Linked DNA regions of Tamandua tetradactyla. The protein of the gene in region 1 interacts with the protein of each later gene in a pairwise test. Links are inferred from orthologs where the notes say so. Each region holds a gene or a part of one and is shown in the gene's direction. Other genes may lie near its edges.

Region 1 (6,664 bases):
ATTAAATTTGTAAATGTTCTTCTCACAAATTATAAGTGATATTCAGATATTCAGCAACAAGATGTACCTCCCACAGATCAGAGTAATTTCTATAAGGTGATCAAGGCACTGGAAAGGACCATAAGGCATGAAATCCTAACAGCAAACTTTCTTAAAAAAGCAATATGCTATCTATATCTGTATTTATATATATATCTATATACCTATCAGAAAGACAGAGAGACTTGGAAAGTATGCACTGTGAAGAGCCAAAAGTTATCAAGAGATTATATTATCATATATCACATAATTTTCAATAAGTAACATGCAAATTAAAATGCATCTTTTTTCATGATAAAATGTTAAAACTAATAATCTATAAAATAAAGCAATAAATAAATTCAATGCACCATGAAAACAGTCCCTTCAGGAAAATAGCAATCTTTTAAATGCACTTTCAAAGTAATTGGAAAACTGTCCTGACTAACTGAGCGTGCACTCATGCTGTGTGTGTGTGTGTATTTTGTCCATATTCTTGTCTCTTTATAACAAAGCATAGCCATCAGCTGAGTTCCCAGCAGGGTGGGACAAACTAAATTCTCAGGTCCCATGACTTTCTTCAATTATATGTCTGCATATTTATATATTTATTTAGTAGCTCCTTTTCTGGTATTTAAATTTCAAAGATGGGCAATAGCAAGCCTTTTCATACGAGAAAAGATCCAAATCTACTAATGAAAGCTAAATTGATTAATATAGCGTTTTAAAAAATACACATATTAAATAATTAGCTGCAAAAATAAATTCTACCCTTTCATGACAGTACTAGTACAATTTATTGTATTATTATAAAGCAGATGAAGGAACAGTAAGGAAATTTGTTGTTTAACCTAAGGATGCAACTTTCAAAGTTCTGCATCTTCCCTAAATCTCAATGAAAACCTCAAGTGATGATTTAACTATCTTAATAAATATTGGTTGCATTTTATTTTAAAAATAATATCCAGGCACATATTTAAAAGAAGGAAGAAACACAGCAGACTAATACATTTGCTTAACATGGTTTAATTATTTTACGTGTTGCATAATGAAATTTACACAGCTACTCTTATTTTTTTCACTAATAAGACCACAATTTTGCTTCGTAAAACTATAGTAGTTAAACTTCAACTGACTATACTAAGCAGAACCATCAGTTATCTGTTTCTGGTTTTGTTTTGCTGGATTAGGCTTTTATAAAGAAGCAAATTATGAAAGGTATTATTGTGGATTTATTCCAAAAAACAACTTTAGAGTTATTTACTTAACCAGAGTAAAATCAGTGCCATCTCTTTTATTTTCTGAGTATTTAGGCTATACAATGAGAACTGATTTTCTGAGTGATAGCTCTGAAGCTTTTCAGGAATCTCACTTATCAAAGAAAGATTCAATGATGTTCCTATATTGTCCTTACAAGAAAGAAAAATAAGAGACTGTATCTCACAAAGAACTCCTAAGAAACGTTCCAATAGCCTTCAGTTACCTAGATTAATACACTTCACTAATTCACATCACTCATTTCTCAGCAGCCCTTGCAATAGGGATTTCTGGTATAACAATATTTTCTGCTTAGGAATGTTTCCTTATATATATGTCCCCAGTAGTCTCCAAGTTTATTGTAGAACCGGAAGAAATGTTAAATTAAAAATTTGAGGGAAGAAAATTATATATATGGCTTCGGAATCACCAATAGTGATGAGTAAAATCAAAGAATAAAATTAGGTGTAAATAGAAGTACTAAGTCACCCCAGGAGGTTGTGTTTATCTTTTCAGATTCCAGGCTGTTTTGCAGCAGGAGGTTTAAGCACTCGAATGGCTGGACTAGAGGATGGAAAGGATCCCTGCCAATCCTGACATCTAAGATCTATGGAATGGTGACAGTAAATTGGCTAGACTTTGAGGCTTCTTACTTTCCATTTTGTGTTCTGAGTAACATGTAAAATAAGAAGTACATAAATGTAATATGACACCAAATGTGAAAAAATGCAGCAAGATAATAAAAATATTGCATAAAGTTTGTTACATTTCAAAGTAATGGTACTATGAAAACAAACAGATGCTAGATTCTTTTGTTGTGAACTAGAGCTCTTGCTTTACCAAAAAAATCTCATTCTATAAAAAATATTATCCACCGTCACACACACACGCACGCACAAACAGACACACATGCAGACACCCTATATTATCTCCCTAGCTATTAGGTTTTAAAAACAAACTGTCCAAAATTACTGGTGGTAGGGAGAAAGACACTGAATTCAAGCATCACTGGTTTTTAGTCTGTTCTTTAGCATATGACAATTCTCATGGGAACATTCATTATTGATCACTGACGAATTTATCAGGATGCCAAGAACCAGGGAATAAATCTAGTAACTTGATATTTTTGGGTCAAAGGGTCATTCACCTCTATAAATAGTGAAAAATAGCTCTAAATGATTCATAATTTTCTTCAGGAAAATTACAATGCTGAATTTTTCCCCTGACATTTTATAAAGTCCCTCATATCAAGAAGTGTTGCTTTTCTACATAATGTCTCCAAGTCAGGCCACACTCTCCTTGGCAGTTCCTTCATTTCTCTACCCCACCCACCCATGCATGGCTGACTCCTCAAATTTCTACGCCTAGCTCTTCCCAGATGACTTCCCTGCCCAACAACCCCCACCATCTCATTCATTTGCTCTCCAGATATTAATTTCCCCTCACTGTGCAAGCTTCTACTTTTGCGTTTTCACTCTTCCTTCTCCAAACCGTGTGTCTGTCTCCTCTTTTAGACTGGGAACTTCTTTAAGGACAGAGACAGCATTAAGCTTATTCATATCTGTACCTCCAGAACTTAGCACATTCTTCACACACACCGGGCACTCAGTCAACATCTCTAATATACATGAATACGAGTATAGAAGCATTATGGGGTAATGAGTGAGACACATTCTTACATCTGAGATGTCAAGTACAAGAGAAAAAGGAGAAAAAAAAATCTCAAGGCCGATGCGATGTCCTACTCTGATGGTGCAGGCTGACAAAACTGGGCGCAGGGAGGGGGAAGGAGGCACGGAATGATGACTATCTTTGGCTGCTATGTAGTTATAGCCAGGAAGATCCAGCTGGGGGTGAGTGGGCACAAGCTCTCTGCAGCACCAAGTGCTTGATGAAATGAAAAGGAAAAGCAACTGGCACTCAGCGATTGCTATCCAACACCATTTATCCTGAAGCCTCTCTTTACCCTTCACCTGTGCGCCTCCACTCTTGGGGAATTGGGGGAGGGGATTTGCATCCTAGGGTCAGAGATATGGGCAGAGTGGCATTCACAACACACTTCACTGCAGAATCAACGTTCAACTGGTCACCTTAAAGCCACTTCATCTGTTCAAAACAACAGCTTATTTTTAACCAGTCTCACATTTTAGAGACCTTCTGTGTATTCCACATACCCTGCTTCCTTTACACTCTCCGCAGCCACAATCCTGCCCATAAGAAGCTCCTTTTTCGCATCAGCTTCCACTTCGGACCATTGAGAAAGCCTCCTAACTGCTTCTAGGTTAACTCTACTCATCTGTTACAGGAAACCTCCTCCTTAAAACCACTAAACGAAAAAAATAAATCCATCATGAATATCTGCTTCAAATCTTTTCCATTTCCTTTCTTCCTCTTTTCCTCTCATTTTTCCTCCCATGGGGCAGAAGGATTCTCACTTATTGATAATATTTAAACTCACTGGATTCACATATAAGACTAAAAATTGGCTCCAACTAATGTTTCTCAGCTTTGTGTTCTGCCACTCAAATTCATGTACAAATTCCTGTTAGACTGAAAGTTTGCCTTCCTATGGCAATAACAGGTCTTGTCATGGATTCTTGCTTTTGCACATCCAATTCTTTTTGTTTGGTGTGACTCTGACCAATTTACACTTAGGAAATGCTCGTCATTGAATCTCCAGCTTGAATATCTCTTCTGGAGAGCAACTTGCTCTGCCCTATTAGTCCCTTTAGTACACTGAACATATCTTTGTTAAAGTACTTATCTCCAATATTGTGATATACCTATATACCCATCAATTCCACCCTGGAATGAGATCCTTAGGGGCAGGTGCCAAGGTTGACTTATCTTACAATACCAAGTACATATAGCATGATAACTGTACAAACATTCATTCTTTGGGGAATAAGTAAAAGTTCATAAAATACAGCTTTAAAATGAATAAGATGAATGTTAATATTTTGTTTAGGAAAAGCTGAAATCATATCAAAATAAAAAGATGTTAAATAGGCTTTTGGATTGGTCTTGTCACCTAATGGGTCAGAGTAAATTTGTTTCTATGGGAATAGACATTCTAAGTTCCAAAAGGCACACATACACATGAATTATGGAACCCAACATCTTGCTTCAAGACTCCATGGGCCCAAGCAACAGACAATGAAGCTGGAAGGGGGTGCCCAGGCTGGTGAGCAGCTCGGCCTCTCTGAGAGGTAAAGGAGCCTGAGCAACACGTGCCAAGTCTAAGAAACAGCCACGTCATCATCAGAAACCAGCTCCAGTCAGCCAGCGAACAATCTAATGCCCTCTGCCCATCTGGCCCTCTTGGGCCCATGCCATGCTGATCACCGTGTACTGCGTGCGGAGGAACCTCTCTGAGGTAACCTTCTCCCTTCAAGTCAGCCCTGACTTTGAGCTCCGCAACTTTCGGGTCCTCTGTGAGCTCGAGTCTGGCATTCCCGCTGAAGAGATCCAGATAATCTTTGCAGAGCGACTTCTTGCTGACGACCACTGTTCCCTGGGCTCATATGGCCTAAAAGACGGTGATGTTGTTGTTTTGCTTCAGAATGAGAATACGGGAACTCGATCCCCAGGAAGAACGTCAAACCTGCCTCGATTAGATTTCAGTGGCGTAGCTGTGCCTGGAACATCCAGCTCCCGCCAGCAGCACCATCAGCGATCACAAACAGCCCAGAACTCAAGCGGCATGGCCTCGGGAGAGACGATAGCTGCTGCTCAAGGTCTGGACAGCCCAGCCTTGATTCGAAGCATGCTGCTTTCCAATCCCCATGATCTGTCTCTGCTGAAGGAACGGAATCCCCCCTTGGCGGAAGCTCTGCTTAGCGGAAACCTTGAGACGTTTTCTCAGGTCCTGATGGAGCAGCAAAGGGAGAGGGCCCTGCGAGAGCAAGAGAGGCTTCGCCTCTATTCTGCTGACCCATTTGATCTGGAAGCTCAGGCAAAAATAGAAGAGGAAATCCGGCAGCAGAACATTGAGGAAAACATGAATATTGCGATGGAAGAGGCTCCCGAGAGTTTTGGCCAAGTGGCAATGCTCTATATTAACTGCAAAGTGAATGGACATCCTTTGAAGGCTTTTGTTGACTCAGGTGCCCAGATGACCATCATGAGCCAAACTTGTGCTGAGAGATGCAACATAATGAGGCTAGTGGACCGAAGATGGGCTGGGGTTGCTAAAGGAGTGGGCACGCAGAGAATTATTGGCAGAGTTCATCTAGCTCAGATTCAAATTGAAGGTGATTTCTTACAATGCTCTTTCTCTATACTTGAGGAGCAACCCATGGACATGCTTCTAGGGCTAGATATGCTCAAACGACATCAATGTTCCATCGACTTGAAGAAAAATGTGCTAGTGATTGGCACCACAGGTACACAGACTTATTTTCTTCCTGAGGGAGAGTTACCCCCGTGTGCCAAGCTGGTAAGTGCTACTGGGCAAGAGGAGTCTTCAGATAAGGAAAGAGCAGATGGTATTAAAAATTCAGTCATGGATTCAGGACGGAAAAAGCATTGAAGTAGGCTGTAAATATACTACCACCTTGAGGGAGCCTCAGGTCCCAGAAAATTATAAGAAATGAGCTCATGGCCATGTAATCATTAAAACATTGCTAACAACTAAACCTGGCCTTGGAACTAAATTCTGAGATCCCTAACTATGTAAATCGTGATTGCTTGATTTTGGCTCCTCTTCCATTTCCCCTATCCAGAGAGCGCTGAACCTCATCTTGGGAAGGCTCTCTCTGGAGGCTCCAGTTGATTTCCAGATAATGCATGAAAAGGAAAACCAGCCTCTTCCTTTTATAGACACCATCTTATCTGATTAAAGCTGTCCAAACCAGCTGCTATTTGGTGCTGCATTAATGGGGCAGAATTCCCTGGAAAAAGTCATTGCTACATGCCCTATAAGGCATCTACACACAACTATTTCAAAGCAGCACCAACACCTGTTTATATGTCAGAGTTATATGTCTCTTTGCACAGATTTTGTTTGCTCTGTGAAAGATATTAGAAATGATGGGTCAATTATACTTTTGAATTAATACTTATACACGTCTGTTTTGGGTAGCATAAGGGTCAATTTCCTCATATTTTACTTGTTCTCCTTCCCTGGAGTCCCTGTTACCACAGCATGTTCACTGCAACCTACCACTATAGGCTACTTTTTTTTTTTGCCATTTTTGAGAAAATGGGTTTTCCTTCTAGAATGTCCAGAAATAATTCTTTCTTTCCCCTGAATTCAAGGTAACTCTGGTTGTAAAATGAAGGCAATGAATTAGATCTTTAGATCTATTCTTTTTCTCCTCAAATGATGGTGCTTTAAGGGAACCTGCATTTGCACAGTGGTGGGAGCGGGAGGTAGGGGCTGGCCGTG
Region 2 (8,146 bases), on another chromosome or scaffold:
AAGTCTTTGGTCACAGTAAATGTAGTTTCTTTAGTGTGATATATAGTTCCTTGAAGTTCTCATGTTCCCTGCAGGAATAATGGACCAATCCACAATTGCTTAACCCTTTGCTGCCAAATGGTGTTCAAATATAGATCAAAGTTTCATTTTAAAGAATCTACAAGTTTCACTGTAAAAGCATGTTAAAAAATTTTATTAAAAAAACTTTGTGGTGATTATACAAATATTGAGTATAGAAAAGAGTACATCTCGAGATCAAATATTTTGAAAAGGAAAGGTAGAAATTGGTCTGCAGCATCAGAGAGAAGAATCCACCAGAGTCTGAGATATATGCTGCAGAGCATCTAGTCTTAAAACCTGTCCATGTGAACTGAAATTGCAGAAACCAGAAGCAACTGCAACTCTGAAACAAAAATTGCTATATAGCTTTTATGCTAATTGAATCAAATACCCAGAGCCATTACACTATTGCAACACAATGACAAACTGAGGGGTTCAAAAATTAGCCTCATACCTTAAAGAATAGCATTTTCCACTCATCTCCACCACTGGCTGATTCAGTATATCTGGTGTGGGAACCAGGATTCTTATTTTCTCAAGTGTCCCAAGCGATTTCTTAAGATGTTTGGAAAACACTGATATGGGTTACTGAAATGAATGGTAGTAATGCCTGTATAAGGATGCCCAAATTGAATTAAATACAGTCCCTTTTAAGACCCTGTGCTACTCATTTAAATTGTACCATATGCTTTAATGAAAGGAAGATGTTTAAATTTATTTGATGCTAAGCAGCAAAAAGAAATAGACGCTTTTGGGAAAAATCCTTCTCTAGGGACTAAACAAATAGAAATAATTTTAAATGGTAGTGAAGTAATAGGATAGGTTTACTAAATTCAAAAGACATTTGAAAAACAATATTTCTCCCCCATTTTAAAGTATCAAATTGAATTATTTACTTAACATTTTAAATTCATTAGTGATAAAATTAGGGGAAACTGTTTAAAAAATGAGGCCTGAAATTTTAAATGTTAATTTTTCTTTAAAAATTTTTGCTTTTATTAAATTGATATATATTCACCAAAAAATCCAAACAATATACAAAAGTACAAAAAATTTAAAAACTATTCAATATTTTATAATCTTAACATTTTGATAAACATCCTTTTAGGTAGCACGATGAAAAATAGATATATGTATTCAATTTTACATAAATGGAATCATACCATGTTTGCTGTTCCTGAACCTGTTTTCAAAAGATGCAGTGTAAATTTCATCTTTCAATTTCTCTAAAGAAAGTGCTACATTAAAATTTGTAATGGCTCTCTGGCATTTCATTGCACATACCTACTAACCTACTACAGTTTACTTAGCACCTCAGTTTCTTCAGCTGTAACATAGTGTAAAGACGGCATTATAACTCAGGTAAAACATTTACAAAAGGCCCAGCACATAATAAACAATAAGTGTTAGTTACTATTATTATACTTTTTTTCCCCAATATTTCATTGTTAAAAGCAATACTGTGACAAATATCCTTTACTTACATATTTTCTGCCTGCTAGGTCAAAAGGTATATTTTCCATAATTTCTTAAAGAAATAGCCTAACTCTATATATGATCATTACTTTAGTCTTTTGTAAAACAGTTAGCAGTGCAAAGTGATTGACTGAAGTGAATCGTAGCACGACAAAGACTAATCTTTATCAATAACAGATCTATAAAACTATTCTTCCAGTTAGATATACAAACTATTTCTATGAAGCCTAAAAGTAATATTTTAGGTCATTTGTGAATAAGGAGTTTATATTGCTTCGATTTTGCATTTCTAGCTTAACGGAAAACTTAATGCGTGAATTATTAAAGTGATATGATCTTTTAAGATGCTCCAGGTGCTGAATTACATTATTATCATGATGGGGACCAAAAAACTTGTGGGATTAGTATTATCAGACTAATAACCAGATTCCCTGCCCAAGCTGATCTTGCCCCAGCGATATTACCATGCTTGAACTGCCTTTTTAATACAGATCCTTTTTTGAGTGTGAATTTTTTGGTCTGGTCTAAAAAGGCAAGAGAACACCAGCCTGAGGCGTATCTATGTTGGTTGGGAAACAAAAGCATTCATTGGTGAAAGATTCTAAAGGGACAATGGAGAGACTGAGACTCTGTTCTTGGCTGACCCACTGAATCTGTCTTTGTCGCTAAATAAGGCACAAATAAATCCCAGGTCCAAGTCTCTTCCATAGAGGGGGCGCCTCCCAGCAAAAGTTCCCAAGCCTACTGCCCAATTCTGCACCTGGCCCTTGATTTGCTAAATGCATGGGCACTCATTCCCAAAGTACCTTAGAATGTCTCGACTGCATGCTCATTGAGAGAAGAAGCATGAGAGGTAGGTGAGAGAGTGGTGTTTTATCAGCAGTGACTTAAAATACAGGTAAAACAAGGTGAAGAGCTGGCATCCAAGAAAATAACTCAATGGTGCAAGTCATAGACCCATCTTTTTTCTTCCTTTTCCTATGGAGGCCATAATCTGCCAGAATTTTTCTGTTTTGTTTTGTTTTTAAATTTCAGTTCCTTATTCATGATGCTATAAAGAAAATAATGGGTGATCAAACTTCACTACGAAGTAGCTAAATTACACAAAAAGAAGCATAAATGTGACCAAATTGTGTTGAAAGGATTTCATGTCTTACTGATAGAATTTTCTTTTCTTTCTCTCTCAATTTTTTTTTTTTTACCCTTCCCTCTTCCTAACATAAAATGTAAATAATCATTGGAGGATGTATGGTCTGCTTGAAATAGGGGACATTTATTTATGAAAAGAATGTTATTTAACGACTTGTCATCCAAGAAGAAAGCAGAAGCTAGTAACTTAAAAAATACAAAAATATATATATTATTGGGATGGGGTGGGGAAACCCTTTGGAAAATTAATCTAAGATTTTTTAAAACTTTAAAAATTTTATATATACACACAAACATGTGTGAGAGAATAGTATAATGATGGCTCATGAACCTATCACCCAGCTTAATAATTATTGACATTTTGTTGATTGTTTCTTTCTCCCTACTTTTTTCCTTATTTTAAAGCAAGTCGCAGAAATTATTTCACTTATAATACTCATGAGTGTAAAAAAAGTTTTAAATGTATAATATTGTGAAATTATTACACCTAACAAAATAAAATTAATAATTTATTAATGTAGGATACAGTTCTGTCAGGCCAGACTTTTCTGTGCCCTGACCATACAGTTAATTATGTGGCTGGCTGTGGACCTAATGGTAAAATGGGGGTTCAAGGATAGGTACTGCCTACTTACTAGCTCTGTGACTCAGGCAGGTCCCATTAGTGCTGTAAAACGAGGGACTAGATTGGATGGCATTTAAGCTTCTTCCTAGCTTGATGATTCTGCCAAAATACAGATGATTAAAAAAAATTAACGGCAGACAATATCATCAGAATATGTGATGCAAGGGACGTTATGTTAAGGAAAAATGGCGTTATACTTAGATCTAGTTTTGCTTGTTCACACTAACGATTTGAAGCCATTTGTTGATTCCTTCTGATAATCGCGTTCCATAATTGTGGAAGTGAAAAGCATAATTTAAGAACTCGAGAAAGAAAAAGTGAAATCATAGGCACTCACCTAACCTGATACTCATTCTAACGTGAGGAAAAAAATCCATTAGTAAACCACTGAGGAGTGAATGTTACCTCCTGGTGAATTACCCCCTTCCTAACATGAAATGTTAATTTGTATTATTGGATGTATATTCTGTTTGGACTAGGAGAAATATATTTATGAGGAAGTTATTATTTAATAGTTTGTTATTCAAGAAGAAAGCTGAAGTACGGTAACTAAAAAGGAAAAAAAAAAATCCAAACCCAAATGCCTCGCACGTTAAGAACTATACTAGTTGGCCCTCAAATCTTGGTTTGGGGGACGTTTCCAAGAGTTTTTTTTAAGAGAAGAGTGACCACACCCCTGGTGCTCCCTTTCAAGCATTACCCTTCCTACCCAAAGGTAATTTAGTAATTTCCATTCTTCCCCCATCCCCCCTCCGCCACCTTTTGTGGGATTAATTCGCATTTCATGAGCAATACAAGGGCCCTTCCTATTAATGGGATGAGCTTTACATTTGCGATGCTCAGTGAGAAAAGACAAGATGGTCTCTCTTCAAATACTCCTCAGATTGCTGGGGGAGGGGGAGTGTGAGCAAAAGCCACCAGACTTGATGCCTAAAGATAATATTTGTAATGGCTAATCCGGATAAATCGAAGTAGGAAAAGCAATGGTTGTTAGAAAGGTATTTGTTGGAAAATAATATATGATAAAAGAAAAAAAGGAAGTGTAATCTAACTTTATTTACTTGAATTATACTTCAGTTTGTCTTCTAACAGCATGAAGGTAAGAGGGGGGTCCCAGCAGCAAAGACAACTTTCCAACCCAGTGCACCGGGCGCGCTGAGCCCTGCAGAACCTGCTGCCATCTGCCCGGGCCTTCTGCAAGATGGTTCCTATACGATGACCACACCGAGGAATCAACTGGGTGTCATGACGTGTCCAGAGACTGCGGGTGTACCTCCGCCCTCTAGAACACGGCGCTGGGCTGGCCCAGATGAGCGGCCCCAGCTTTGATGTTTTTCGTTCTCTGGACCCCAGACTGCCTTTGCCTTCATCCGTTCTCTTCCACGCCCGTTTCTTTTTTCCCCTCCGAAGCAGAGCGAAAGAAAACACAAAGTGGGTTCATCTCCCTCCTTTCCCACCCAACTGGTGCGCACCGGGCGGGCCGGGAAGCTGCGGGGACGCGCGTCCGACCTGCTCCCGCCGCCCGCGCGTCGGCATTCCGGGCGGGCGAGGCCTGCAGCCTTCCAGCTCTCGCCGAAAGCCGGATCCAGTTCGCAGGTCTAGCGGGATGCAGGGGTCCTGCGGGCGGAAGTGAGAAGGGAGGCGTGGGAGGAGGCTGCAGGCTGGGGGTTGGGATACCCTCCCCGACTGACGCTGTCGGGAGAGTCCAAGCAGGCACCGCGGCCGCCTCCCGACGTCGGCGCGCGCGAGCTGGGCCTTTTTTGGCGTGGAGGGAGACGAGAAGGGCCGAGCCGCAGCCATCGGGACAGGAGGAGGGGCTGCTTCGGAGGCTCCGCCGAGACCCAAATAGGCCGGGCGAACGCGGGAGCGGGCGGCCCTTCGCCTGCCTCCTCCTCCCGGACCCCATCCCTCGGTGAGCCCAACCCGGAACCCGGAGAGCGCGCGGGGGCGGGGAAGACAGCGCGCAGATCTGGCGGGAACCCAGTCAGCCCGCAGCCCCCCAGTCATGTCGGCGGAGGAAATGGTGCAGATCCGCCTGGAGGACCGCTGCTACCCGGTGAGCAAGAGGAAGCTCATCGAGCAGAGCGACTACTTCCGCGCCCTGTACCGCTCCGGCATGCGCGAGGCCCTGAGCCAGGAGGCCGGCGGCCCCGAGGTGCAGCAGTTGCGCGGCCTCAGCGCCCCAGGCCTGCGGCTGGTGCTGGACTTCATCAACGCCGGCGGCGCCCGCGAAGGCTGGCTCCTGAGCCCGCGGGGGGAGAAAGGCGGCGGGGTGGAGGAGGAGGAGGAGATGGACGAGGTGAGCCTGCTGTCGGAGCTGGTGGAAGCGGCCTCCTTCCTGCAGGTCACGTCCCTGCTGCAGCTGCTTCTGTCCCAGGTGCGGCTCAACAACTGCTTGGAGATGTATCGCCTGGCGCAGGTGTACGGGCTGCCTGACCTGCAGGAGGCCTGTCTGCGCTTCATGGTCGTCCACTTCCACGAGGTGCTGTGCAAGCCCCAGTTTCACCTCCTGGGGGCTCCTCCCCAAGCCCCAGGGGACGTCAGTCTGAAGCAAAGGCTGAGGGAGGCCCGGATGACTGGGACTGCGGTCCTCGTGGCCCTGGGAGACTTCTTGGGGGGACCCCTGGCCCCGCACCCCTACCAGGGGGAGCCCCCGTCCATGCTCAGGTACGAGGAGATGACTGAACGTTGGTTCCCGCTGGCCAACAACCTGCCTCCCGACCTGGTGAATGTCAGGGGTTACGGGTCGGCCATTCTGGACAACTACCTCTTTATAGTGGGCGGGTACAGGATCACCAGCCAGGAGATCTCTGCCGCGCACTCCTACAACCCCAGCACCAATGAGTGGCTCCAGGTGGCCTCCATGAATCAGAAGAGGTAAGCGCCCCAGTGCAGTGCTGCTGCTTTGCCACTCATTCATGTGTTCAATAACGCACTCCGCTAGTGTTTACAGAACAGTCACCGGAGGCTGTGCTGAGGTAGAAATGACATCTTCAGGAGTGTTGCTGGCCTCGATACTGGCAAAATTCCCAGTGAATTCAGAACTTACAAGAAGAGGCTCCAATGGGGTCAGCCAGCTCAATAAGTTTCCTTGTAGGTGTTGCGCCTTTAGGCAGAACGGCCTTCTTTGCCTCTATTCTAGGGAAAAAAAATGATGTGGTTTCCTAGAGTATACTTTCTAAGGCAACTGCTTTTTTTTTTGTTTTTTGTTTTACTTTTTAGGATCTAATTCTCATTATAATGACACACTAGGCAGTAGCCATTAATCTTGATATGGGGGATTTTTTATTTTTCGCAGTCAGTGGTTTGAAGTCCTACACTGGAGCACCAATCCAAGGTCAGGAGACAGATAATCATTAGAGTTTTATACATATTAATTATTTGGGCTTTCCTTTTATTATTTTTTATCCTCTCTTTTGCTTCTTCCTCTCAGGCAGCCATTGCCATTGACTCAAAGCTTGAGCCTTGCAGGAGCCACCTACATACAATATTGGAATGTTTCTATCCACCCCAACCTCCTCTTTTCCCATCCTGCATGTCCTTCCACCATGAACATGGTGACTTGAAGAGAGAAAAAGAAGAGGAGGAGCTTGAGGGGAGTAAAAGCAGGGAAGGACCAGCAAAAGAACAGAAACAATGAGCACAAAGAGCAGATAAAGGAAAAGATGGTAGGAAAGAGAGCTGGTAGAGCCCAGGATGGCTCAGCCATTCAGAAGTGGGAGAAGAAGCAATGCAACCCAAGCAAGGATAGGAATACCCTTTCTTTTGGTCCACGTGTTTCCATCTCAAGTCCATCATTGTCCCTACCCTGAAGTTTGAAGCATGGAGCTCAGTGACCTCATAGGCAGGCCAAGAAAGTCTTAGCAGGAATGAGGAGGACTGGCTTTATTCCTACTATAATATAAAATTCATTTTGCAAAGTCCTCCTTTTTTCTGATCATAATAGAAATTATTATGGAAAAATGGAAATGAATGAAGAAGTAGAAAGACTGTCACTCCTACTTCCTCCTCCTAGAGGTAATAGCTATCTACAGTTGGCATATGTACTCCCAATCCTTTTTAAATGCATTTTTTTACAGCATTGAGGTGATAACATATTTAAATTTTGATATCAGAAATATTATTTTTAAACAGAAATTCCAATTAGGGTGGAAGGCTCAGTAGCTTCTCTGTTCTCTCTAACTTTTCAGTTGAATCAGTTGGTTCTCAGCATGCCATCCCCAGCTCCACAATTCTAACAACACCATACAGAGTTCATTTCTTTTTTTTTTTTTAATCTTTACAAATCTATAGTAGTCTTTTATCCCCCCTCCCCAGGAATGACCTGTCTGTCTTTAAAAAAGAACAAAAAAAATCAAATAATGCATGCATATATGCTTTTTGGAAAAATGAAAATGAGATAGAAAACTATAGAGTAAAAAGTATAAGTGCATTTATAGACATTTGGTATATTTTTAAAATATATTCAAAAGCTGTAAATATATGTTTATATAAATAGATTATAAGTATGCTCATTGTGGTTAACAATGGGGAAATGTATGTGTATATACATGGATACTTGGGTGGTGTGTATATACCTTCTCCATAGTTTTTACTCTAAAATTAATTCTCATTATTATGGCACTTGATATTTCCACTTATATAGTGTATCTGAAAGATTTTTCTATGTCGACGAATGTAGATAGATCTCATACTTTTTAATGGCTGTATAGTATTCAAGCCTATGGATATACCTTAATGTGTTTAGCTATTCCCTTGTCGCTTCCATTTGCCATTATAAGCAATGCTATATTAAACATCCCGGTATGTATGTGTGCATTTTAATAGACATATGTG
Region 3 (7,858 bases), on another chromosome or scaffold:
GAGAATGAATAAAGCACTGTATTGAGTATAAAATAACCAGCAAACATGCATTCAGCAGTTACTCCATGCCAAGGCCTTACAAAGATGAGCCCATTAAGTCCTCATGACCACTCTGTTACTAACTCCATCTTACCTATAAATAATAGGGTTACATAGTTTGCCCAACATCACTTAGTAAAAGGGGAGCCAGTTGGCCAACTCCAGGCCCAAACTCAGCCAGTGAGGACCAGCCAGCCTTCCAGTGCCCCTCTCTGTGACCCCCTGTGGCAGTCATTTCACGTGGGTCAGCCATTTGATTAGGAGTCACACCGAGACACTCTCAGGCTGCATTCAATACAGAAAGGGTATCCCAGAAATGCCTCTCAGTTTCCTGTACGTGCCCAGTAGCTTCCACTGGGCCTTCTGACCATTGAGTGGAACCCGGAAGAGTCCCAGGATGAGGCAGAAAATGGCCGAGACAGCAAAAGGCTCACTAGTTTCCGCACATCTAAAGGACACATCCCCCACCCGGAAAGAGACCTGAGGTGTTTGCAGGTCAAGCCGGCTGGACCAGCTGCCTGAACTCCCATGGGGAGACTCTCCTTCCATGGGCACCTAAGCCCAAAGGTCTTGGGATTCTTTTGCTTTTTATTTTATTAAAAGACAGGCAGCGTCAGTGGTCTAGCAGACACTTCCCCATGAGATAGTGTCACCCCAGTGAGAGGTCTTCCAAACTAGGTGGGTCCCCAAGCACCCAGAGCACAGTAGGGACTTCATAACTTTCCGTTGATTTTTCAGTGTCCTCTGATCAAAGGACACTGGTTACTCAGGGAAGAAATAAGCCGGGAGATCCCCAACTTCACCCCTGAAAGGCCACATGCCCTCAGCCTAAGGAAGAGTTAACTTTCGGCCATGGGAGCCGGAATCCTGCCCGCAGGGGCTGTCCAGCCAATGACACTCGATGCTGATGATGTCATGCTCTTCCAGAGCCTTCTATTGGGGACTGGACAGCGAATCCTGCCGAGGTTCAGGCAGAGGAGCTGAGGCTGGGTGGGGGCAGGGGGAGGAGGGGAGGAAAGGGAAAGGAAAGGAAAGCAGAGCAATGCAGAGCTGCTTCTGCTCATCCCTCTCTCCACTCCCCCTGCGCCTTCCAGCAAAAGGTACCCCTGGGGACCGTCCTGCACTCAGACTAGCCAGGCAGAGCAGCTTTGGTCCAAGGGAGGGGTCTGGGAGCTCCCAGCTCCCAATCTGAGAAAACAGACATCCAAGCAGGCACACAGGGAGCAAGGTGCCTGGGGCACGGGGACACATGCCTGCTGGCCACCATGTAGTGTGGGCACACGCACACACGTGCATACGCGTTGCACCCCCCAGACACAGACAGCAACAGCTTCTTTGGCAGAACCTCCCTCCCCCACCTGACTCTCCACTGCCTCACCTGCCCGAAGCCTGCAGGTCTCTTTCCGAGCCGCTGCCCCTAGCTGCCCCGTCCACTCCGCTGGGCTCCCTGTGGGAGGGGAGAACATGAAGGAAGAGCTGTAGGCGGTGTCCAGACCGTCCTCCTGCTCCTCGGGGCCTGGCCACATGGAGACCACAGCTTCGTACCCTGGAAGAGCCCCAAATGCCCCTGCTCCGAGAGTGAGCCTCTTGGGGACTTGGTACACATGCCCTCCCGACCTCCCCCCAGAGGCCCAGAAGCTCCTCCCCTGCCCCAGCCCAGGGCCCCTGCCAGGCTCTCACGGTTGGACCCGGTTGGCAGACCAGCGACGCCAGAGCATGGCCAAGGTGCTGAGCAGAAAGAGGGTGGTGCACATGGCCCTTCGCCCCACCCCCTGCCCAGAACCTCGTCTGGAGAAGAAGGCGAGGGCTAGGGGCCCAAATGGCCCCCGCCACCTCTCACCAGCATTCTGTCCTGAGGTTCCTGCTGGTGACGGATTAGGAGGCTCAAGCTGATTAGTGGGGTCACAGCAGACCCGCCCTTGTGAAGACTGATTAACCTCACCAGGCCCAGGCTGTCTCGTCCAAGGCCAGGTAAATCAACCTCGGCACTGAGCACCGATTCTGAATGCAAATATGAATAAGACCTGGGCCTTAGAGTCTAGACAAATGAAACAAATGCCTGCAATAGGGTGGCTTAGCTGGAGAGCATGTTGGGATTTGCAAGCATCAGGAAAAGATTTGAAGAAGAACTAGAGGCCCCTGAATTTGCAGGTGAGCACGGAAGGATGGTCCTGAGAGAGCGATCAAAGAATCTGCAAGAGCCAGAGATGGGCACGAGCTCGCCGTGTTCCAGCCGCTGGGCGTTGGGTGGCGGGGGAGTGGTAATGTCGCAGTGTGGGGCGCCAGGAGGGCCGGAGAACAGAGGAGCACAATGAGAACCTGAAGTCAGAAGAGGAGAAAGCAAAGAGCGAAGGGCCCACGATGTCTGGCTTGGGGGGCATCCATTTTAACCTCTGGATAGTCCATTTCAAAGCTTTTCTGATCATATACTTCTCATTCAAAGGCAGAACGTAACTGTGCACCCATAACGTGACACTTATAAATCAGATAATCTAGTGAAGTTCTGATCCACGCCACCACATGGGTGAACCTTGAATATGTCATTTTGAGTGAAATAAGCCACATACACACAAGAGGACAAATATCATGATTTCATTTATATGAAATATCTAGAATAAGCAAATTCATAGAAACAGAAAGATTAGCAATTACCAAGGGCCAGGGGAGAGGGCAGGAGAAGTTTTTACTTAATGGATGTTTGGGGTGAGGGAAAAGTTAATGGGTGGCGGTGACAGTAACACAACATCATGAATGTAATTAACACCATTAAAATGTACACTTGAAACTGGGTATAACAGGAAATGTTATGTTGTATAGATGTTACCATAATAAATTTTTTAAATAATATATACTCTACCAGTCTGCAAATACATCATTGCATCATAAAATATACACACAGTTTGTAACGGATGAGATAAAAATAGAGGGAAAGACTTCTACTTTCTTTCCACATCCCAGTGGAACTTCTTGGGCAGCCAGTTTAGAGACCAGTACACCTGCTTTAGGAAACCCTCAAAGGAGCTCAGCTGGCATCTGGGCATAACGTGGAGATTAGGCCTCAAAGGGACAGAAGGCTGGCAGGGCACAGAGGACAGGGCAAGGGTTTGCAAGTGGCGAATTTGAGAGTGATGTTAGAAGCCGAGCACACCCTCTCCTGCACCCACCTCCAGGGCTCCTCGGAAGAAGGCATTTGGGGAGGCTGTGGCAGAGGCCAACCAGCCAGGATTCCCACCAAGTTACTGGAACCCTGAGCTCCAGGAAGGGCCTGAGCCAGGGCAGGGCTAGGCAGGCCCCTGCTGCTTCTGTCAGCTCTCTACCTTGAACTACGATTTTTCAAAATAAAAACATAAAGCAAGCTGCAGAGGAGAGCCCCATTTGCAGTGGTTAGGCAGCGGAACACAAAGCCTTGAGAACAAAGGTCACCAGGGATCCTTAGGGAGAGAGTAGTAGAAACATCCCATATGTGCTGTGTCATCAGTTTGACACCGCAGGGGTGTCTGGACTCTGGCCAGTAGTGGGGTCCCCCTGGCTCTCAGAGGTCCATGCGCACCTCTAGCCGGGTCTCAACCACACCTCAGCCGTCTTGCTTCGTGGTAGCTGAGAAGCCTCCGGCACCCTGGGCCTTCCCCCAGGTTCCTTGACCCCGGGCTCCTCCTCTGTACCGCACCAGCCGCCTCTCTGGACTTTTCCCGCGTCGGGGCCAGAATTCGAGGTAGCGCCTCTATCTGGCCTGCTTGTGTCATCAATAAGACACCCAGAGGCTTCTTCCCAGCGTGTGCGCCCCGAGGCCGCGGGTCTCTGGCGCCCGAGGTTGGAGGTGTGCCGACGTTCGGACCGACGCACCCCATTCCCGCAGCGGGAGGCGGGCAGGGAGAAGCACCAAGTTCTAGATCCTGCAGATCCCGGGGTCTGGAATTCCGGGAGGTGCCGGGAGAGGCCGCGAGCTAGCGGGACCCCAGCTGGGACCGCGGCGGCTGGGGCTTGCGTTCGCCCCCTCGGGCCGCAGTCGCCCGGGAGCGTCTGACTTTGAATCGGTTCCCCGAGGGGGGAAGGGGGCACACACGCACACGCCCCGAGGCGCACGCAGCGGGGGCCCGCGCCGATCGCCCCCAGACCCGCCGACAGCGCCGCCCCGCGCCGCGTGACCGCCGGCTGCTCGCCGAGACACCCCCCCCCCCCCCCCCACGGCGGGCCGGCCACACCCACCCGGCCCGGCCCCGCCCGGCGCCCCCACCCCGCCCAGCCGTCACCTTGCCGGAACTGGCTCACCGACGCGGGGCTGGGGTTTGGGGCGTATTTGTTTTTTCAAACATTTTTCCAGCAGACCACATCCCCGCCCCCCGTCCGCGTCCCCCGCCCCCCGCACATATACCCTGCACACACACACACACACGCGCGCGCACACACACACATACACACACACACGCGCGCACACACGCCCGGCGCGCAGAGGCACGGACACACGCTCCCTCCCTCCGGCGCGCTCTCCCCCGGCCCGCCCGCCCGCCGCGCAAGCAGCCGGCCCCGGCTCCTCGCGCCCCGCCGCCGCCGAGCGAAGCCGGGCCGGGCTCGGAGCTTCTCATGGAGAAAGTGCCGGGCGAGATGGAGCCGGAGCGCAGGGAGCGCAGCGAGGAGCTGTCCGAGGCGGAGAGGAAGGCGGTGCAGGCGACGTGGGCCCGGCTCTATGCCAACTGCGAGGACGTAGGGGTGGCCATCCTGGTGAGGTAGGTGTCGCCCCGGCCGGGCCCGGGGGAGGGAGGGCGGCAGCGGCTCCGGGCAGGGGCGGGCTCGGCCCGGGTCCGAGCTCCGGCGCCGCCTCCCCAGCTCGGACGGGGGCCGGGCCAGGGCCGGCCGGGGTGCAGGCAGCGGGGGGCGCCGGCCGAGGGCGGACGGTGAAGCCCTGGAGCCCTTCCCGGAGCCGGGGCGCGGGGACCAGCCGCAGAGGCGAGGCAGCCGCCGACCCCCTTCTCGCCCGGGCCCCAAACTCCTCCCTGGGCCCGAGACCCCTCTCCCACCCACACTCAGCCCGCGCCCGCCAAGCTGTTACAGACACACATTTTATCATCCCTTCCACCTCAATCGCCCCATTCTAGAGATGGGAAGACTGAGGCTCAGCCAGGGAGGCAGCAAAGAGGGGCAACTGCCTCTCTCCAGCTCAGCCCCTTTCCCTCTTCAAAGCCTTAGGGAAGGCAAAGATCCGGAACAGAGGCCAGGAGAAGTACACGGATGAGGACCAGTTCTCCCAACTGTTCCCTTTCTGCCCAAAGGGAGTGGGCCAGCAAGGAGCTCCCAGGCCCTGCAGGGCAGAGAAGGAGCAACCAGTGCCCTAGACCCAGCCCCTGCAGAGTTTGGTGGAGGGAAAGGGAGAAGCTTCAGGAGACAGGGCCCCACCTGGAAACACCCTCCCTGGGGGCTGTGGAAGTGCTGTGTCTTGGACTCAGGGGTCACTCCCCACAAAGACCCCCAAACACGGAGTGACTCCATCACTCACCCGCTTTCACTCCGGCGCACACGCCATTCCTAGGTTGAATGTCACTGAGCCTCACAGTGAATGACTGTAGGTACAAATCTATGTCCTGTTCCCACATGCGCCAGTCCCCGGGGGTGCAGGGGGAGAGACCCCGACCCAGCCTGCCCTCGAGCCCTTGTCCTTGGCAGAGAGAAGCTGTCAAATCTGGGACAGAGCAGGGCAGACTTATTATTTAAAGAAATGGGCAACTGCTTGCTTAAGGAAGAGACAGCTCACATGCATGCCTGTTTCCCCGACCTGGCCAGTCTGGCCCCTCTGTATGTCCCCCGACCCCCTACTCTCTCTCCCCTCTGCCTTCCCCTGATCCAAACTTGGGAGCTGATTTTGGAGGAAAAAGAGCAGGAAGCACTTCTGATGAGTTAGAGGAGGGTCCCTAAGGAAGGGGCCGCTATTTAGGGAGCTCATGCCAGACTCCCGGAAATGCAGCCAGGGGCTGGGGGAGGGTGCAAGGGGGATTCAGACCCTGGAGTCTTCTGACACTCAGAGCAGCATATCCGACACTCAGAGCAGCCAATCTGTGGTGCCAGCACCCATGCAGCACCCAGTAGGACGGCAGCCCCAGTGGTGGGTGTAGGCACCTGAGGCCCACCAGGCCCCGGGGTGCACCTGGAGCTGGAAACGAGGCAGGGTCCACAGAACAACAGATCAGAAGAACCTTGGAGAGCATTAGTCCCAACCCCTGTCATTTCCAGTGTAGCAGCGTGGCCAGGACCGTCTCCCGGGGCTCCCCAGAACCTCCCCAGGAGCGGGACAGGGGGGCCTGAGGGGAGCCGATGAGGGAACCAGACACTGAGGGCAGGGCTTGCTCTGGGCAGTTGGGGCTCTTGGCAAGATTGTCTTTCTCTCTCTAGACCCCCTTCTAGTTCCCTGGTCCTGACTCTCGGAGAGGGGGCCGGGCCTGGGCTGGGGGAGGTGTTTGCTAGTGAGCTCAGAGACAGCCCCCCGTTAATCTGAGAAGGCTGAGATAGCCGGGGTTTCTTAAATCATTACCTCCGGCCCGCTGATAAGCCCACCACCCAACCCCACCTCACTTGGCCATAGTTCTCTGCTGATTAGAGCCCTGCCCCACGGGACAACTCAGCCCAGAACCGTCCCTCTCGGCACCTCCCGCCAGCCCAGGCCCTATACCAGCCGCCCTTTCCTCCTGCTGCCCTCCTGGCTCTGCCCAGGCAGTTGGGACAGGCGGCATTAAGGGGTCTCCCAAAGGTCCCCGCGCAGATACCCTGCCCGTCGGTCCTGCCGCCCAAAGCAGGTATCCACAGGAAGAGGCCTCTTTGCGCCTGAGACGCTGGCCTCTGGCCTTCCCTCGCACCCCCTCCCTCCTCGCTGACCTGGGCCAGTGCCTCTGCCCTCAGCCATTGGGGCAAGGGGCAGGCCAGCGCCCCTCCACACCCCACCCTCCAGAGCTGAGCAGCCCGTTGGGGGTGGTGGTGGAGGAGCCTGGGTCCCAGCCCACCCCGCACCTCCACTCTGTGGGGAGGAGACCGCGGGAACCCCTGTGCTTTACGAAGGCTCCCCCCCTCCCGGTTGTAACTCTGGCACCTTCCCCCTCACTCTCAGACAAGCCTATTTCAAGCTCTCTTGGAAGCCCAGATGCCTCTGGGAGCTGAGAACTCCCCCAAGGCTGGCTGCTGAGGCTTCTCTCCTACCCTTGGCACAGCCCCGCTGGAAGGGTCAGAAGTAAACATGGGGGCACTGGGGAGAGAAACCAGGGTGAAGGAGAGCAGGGCAGGTGGCCACCAGGTCCTGGCCCAGAAGAGGCCCCTGTAGCTGGCTCTGGGGATGGAGGCAGGGGGCTGGCCTGGGTCTCCTGGGCATGGAACCAGGTGCACCAGTCTCCTAAGGCAGTTATAGGGAGGCTGTCAAAGCAGGGGCCACCTGGGCTCCTTCCTGCCACCTATTTCCTCCAGAAACCTTGGACATCAATTTCCTAATCCATAAAGTGGGGACAAAGCACCAACCTTGCAGCAGAAGACTGCAAGGAACAATGAGATCAAATAGGAAGTGTGCAAGAAATGTTCCCTCTTTTTTTCTCAACAGTAAAATAGATCTAATACCTGCTAAACTGTGGCAATTAAATGAAGTAACACGTGGAGGTGCTTTACAAAAAATTGTAATGCAGCAGACACATATAATCCATCTTTTTTTATAGCAACTGTAAACCCCCAAAGTCTGAAGTCCAGATAGAGTTTTTCACGTTTGTCCCTCATTGCAATGTTTCCCCAGAAAAATCCGATGTCTTTTCAGGTTCACTGCCTTGTGTTTCCTCACTGGCACATCTGTGAGGTA

What was found. The genes of interacting proteins can lie anywhere in the genome.
Region 2: the proteins of DDI1 (region 1) and KLHL42 interact in binary tests that used the Homo sapiens proteins (3 or more experiments, as listed by UniProt). The two-hybrid records come from large-scale screens. The link is inferred for Tamandua tetradactyla from reciprocal best matches to the Homo sapiens genes DDI1 and KLHL42.
Region 3: the proteins of DDI1 (region 1) and CYGB interact in binary tests that used the Homo sapiens proteins (3 or more experiments, as listed by UniProt). The two-hybrid records come from large-scale screens. The link is inferred for Tamandua tetradactyla from reciprocal best matches to the Homo sapiens genes DDI1 and CYGB.

What each region holds. Positions count from the first base shown.
Region 1 is NC_135334.1:37,958,476-37,965,139, reverse strand, and holds DDI1 (protein DDI1 homolog 1), read left to right. Parts: upstream 1-4,365; 5' UTR 4,366-4,609; coding exon 4,610-5,806; 3' UTR 5,807-6,130; downstream 6,131-6,664. UniProt on the Homo sapiens protein: Probable aspartic protease. Seems to act as a proteasomal shuttle which links the proteasome and replication fork proteins like RTF2. Required, with DDI2, for cellular survival following replication stress.
Region 2 is NC_135333.1:90,930,311-90,938,456, forward strand, and holds the start of KLHL42 (kelch-like protein 42), read left to right. Parts: upstream 1-4,831; 5' UTR 4,832-5,315; coding exon 5,316-6,187; intron 6,188-8,146. UniProt on the Homo sapiens protein: Substrate-specific adapter of a BCR (BTB-CUL3-RBX1) E3 ubiquitin-protein ligase complex required for mitotic progression and cytokinesis. The BCR(KLHL42) E3 ubiquitin ligase complex mediates the ubiquitination and subsequent degradation of KATNA1.
Region 3 is NC_135332.1:17,433,822-17,441,679, reverse strand, and holds the start of CYGB (cytoglobin), read left to right. Parts: upstream 1-4,543; 5' UTR 4,544-4,620; coding exon 4,621-4,763; intron 4,764-7,858. Other genes in the region: photoreceptor disk component PRCD, read right to left, coding at 1,418-1,486, 1,720-1,793. UniProt on the Homo sapiens protein: Probable multifunctional globin with a hexacoordinated heme iron required for the catalysis of various reactions depending on redox condition of the cell as well as oxygen availability.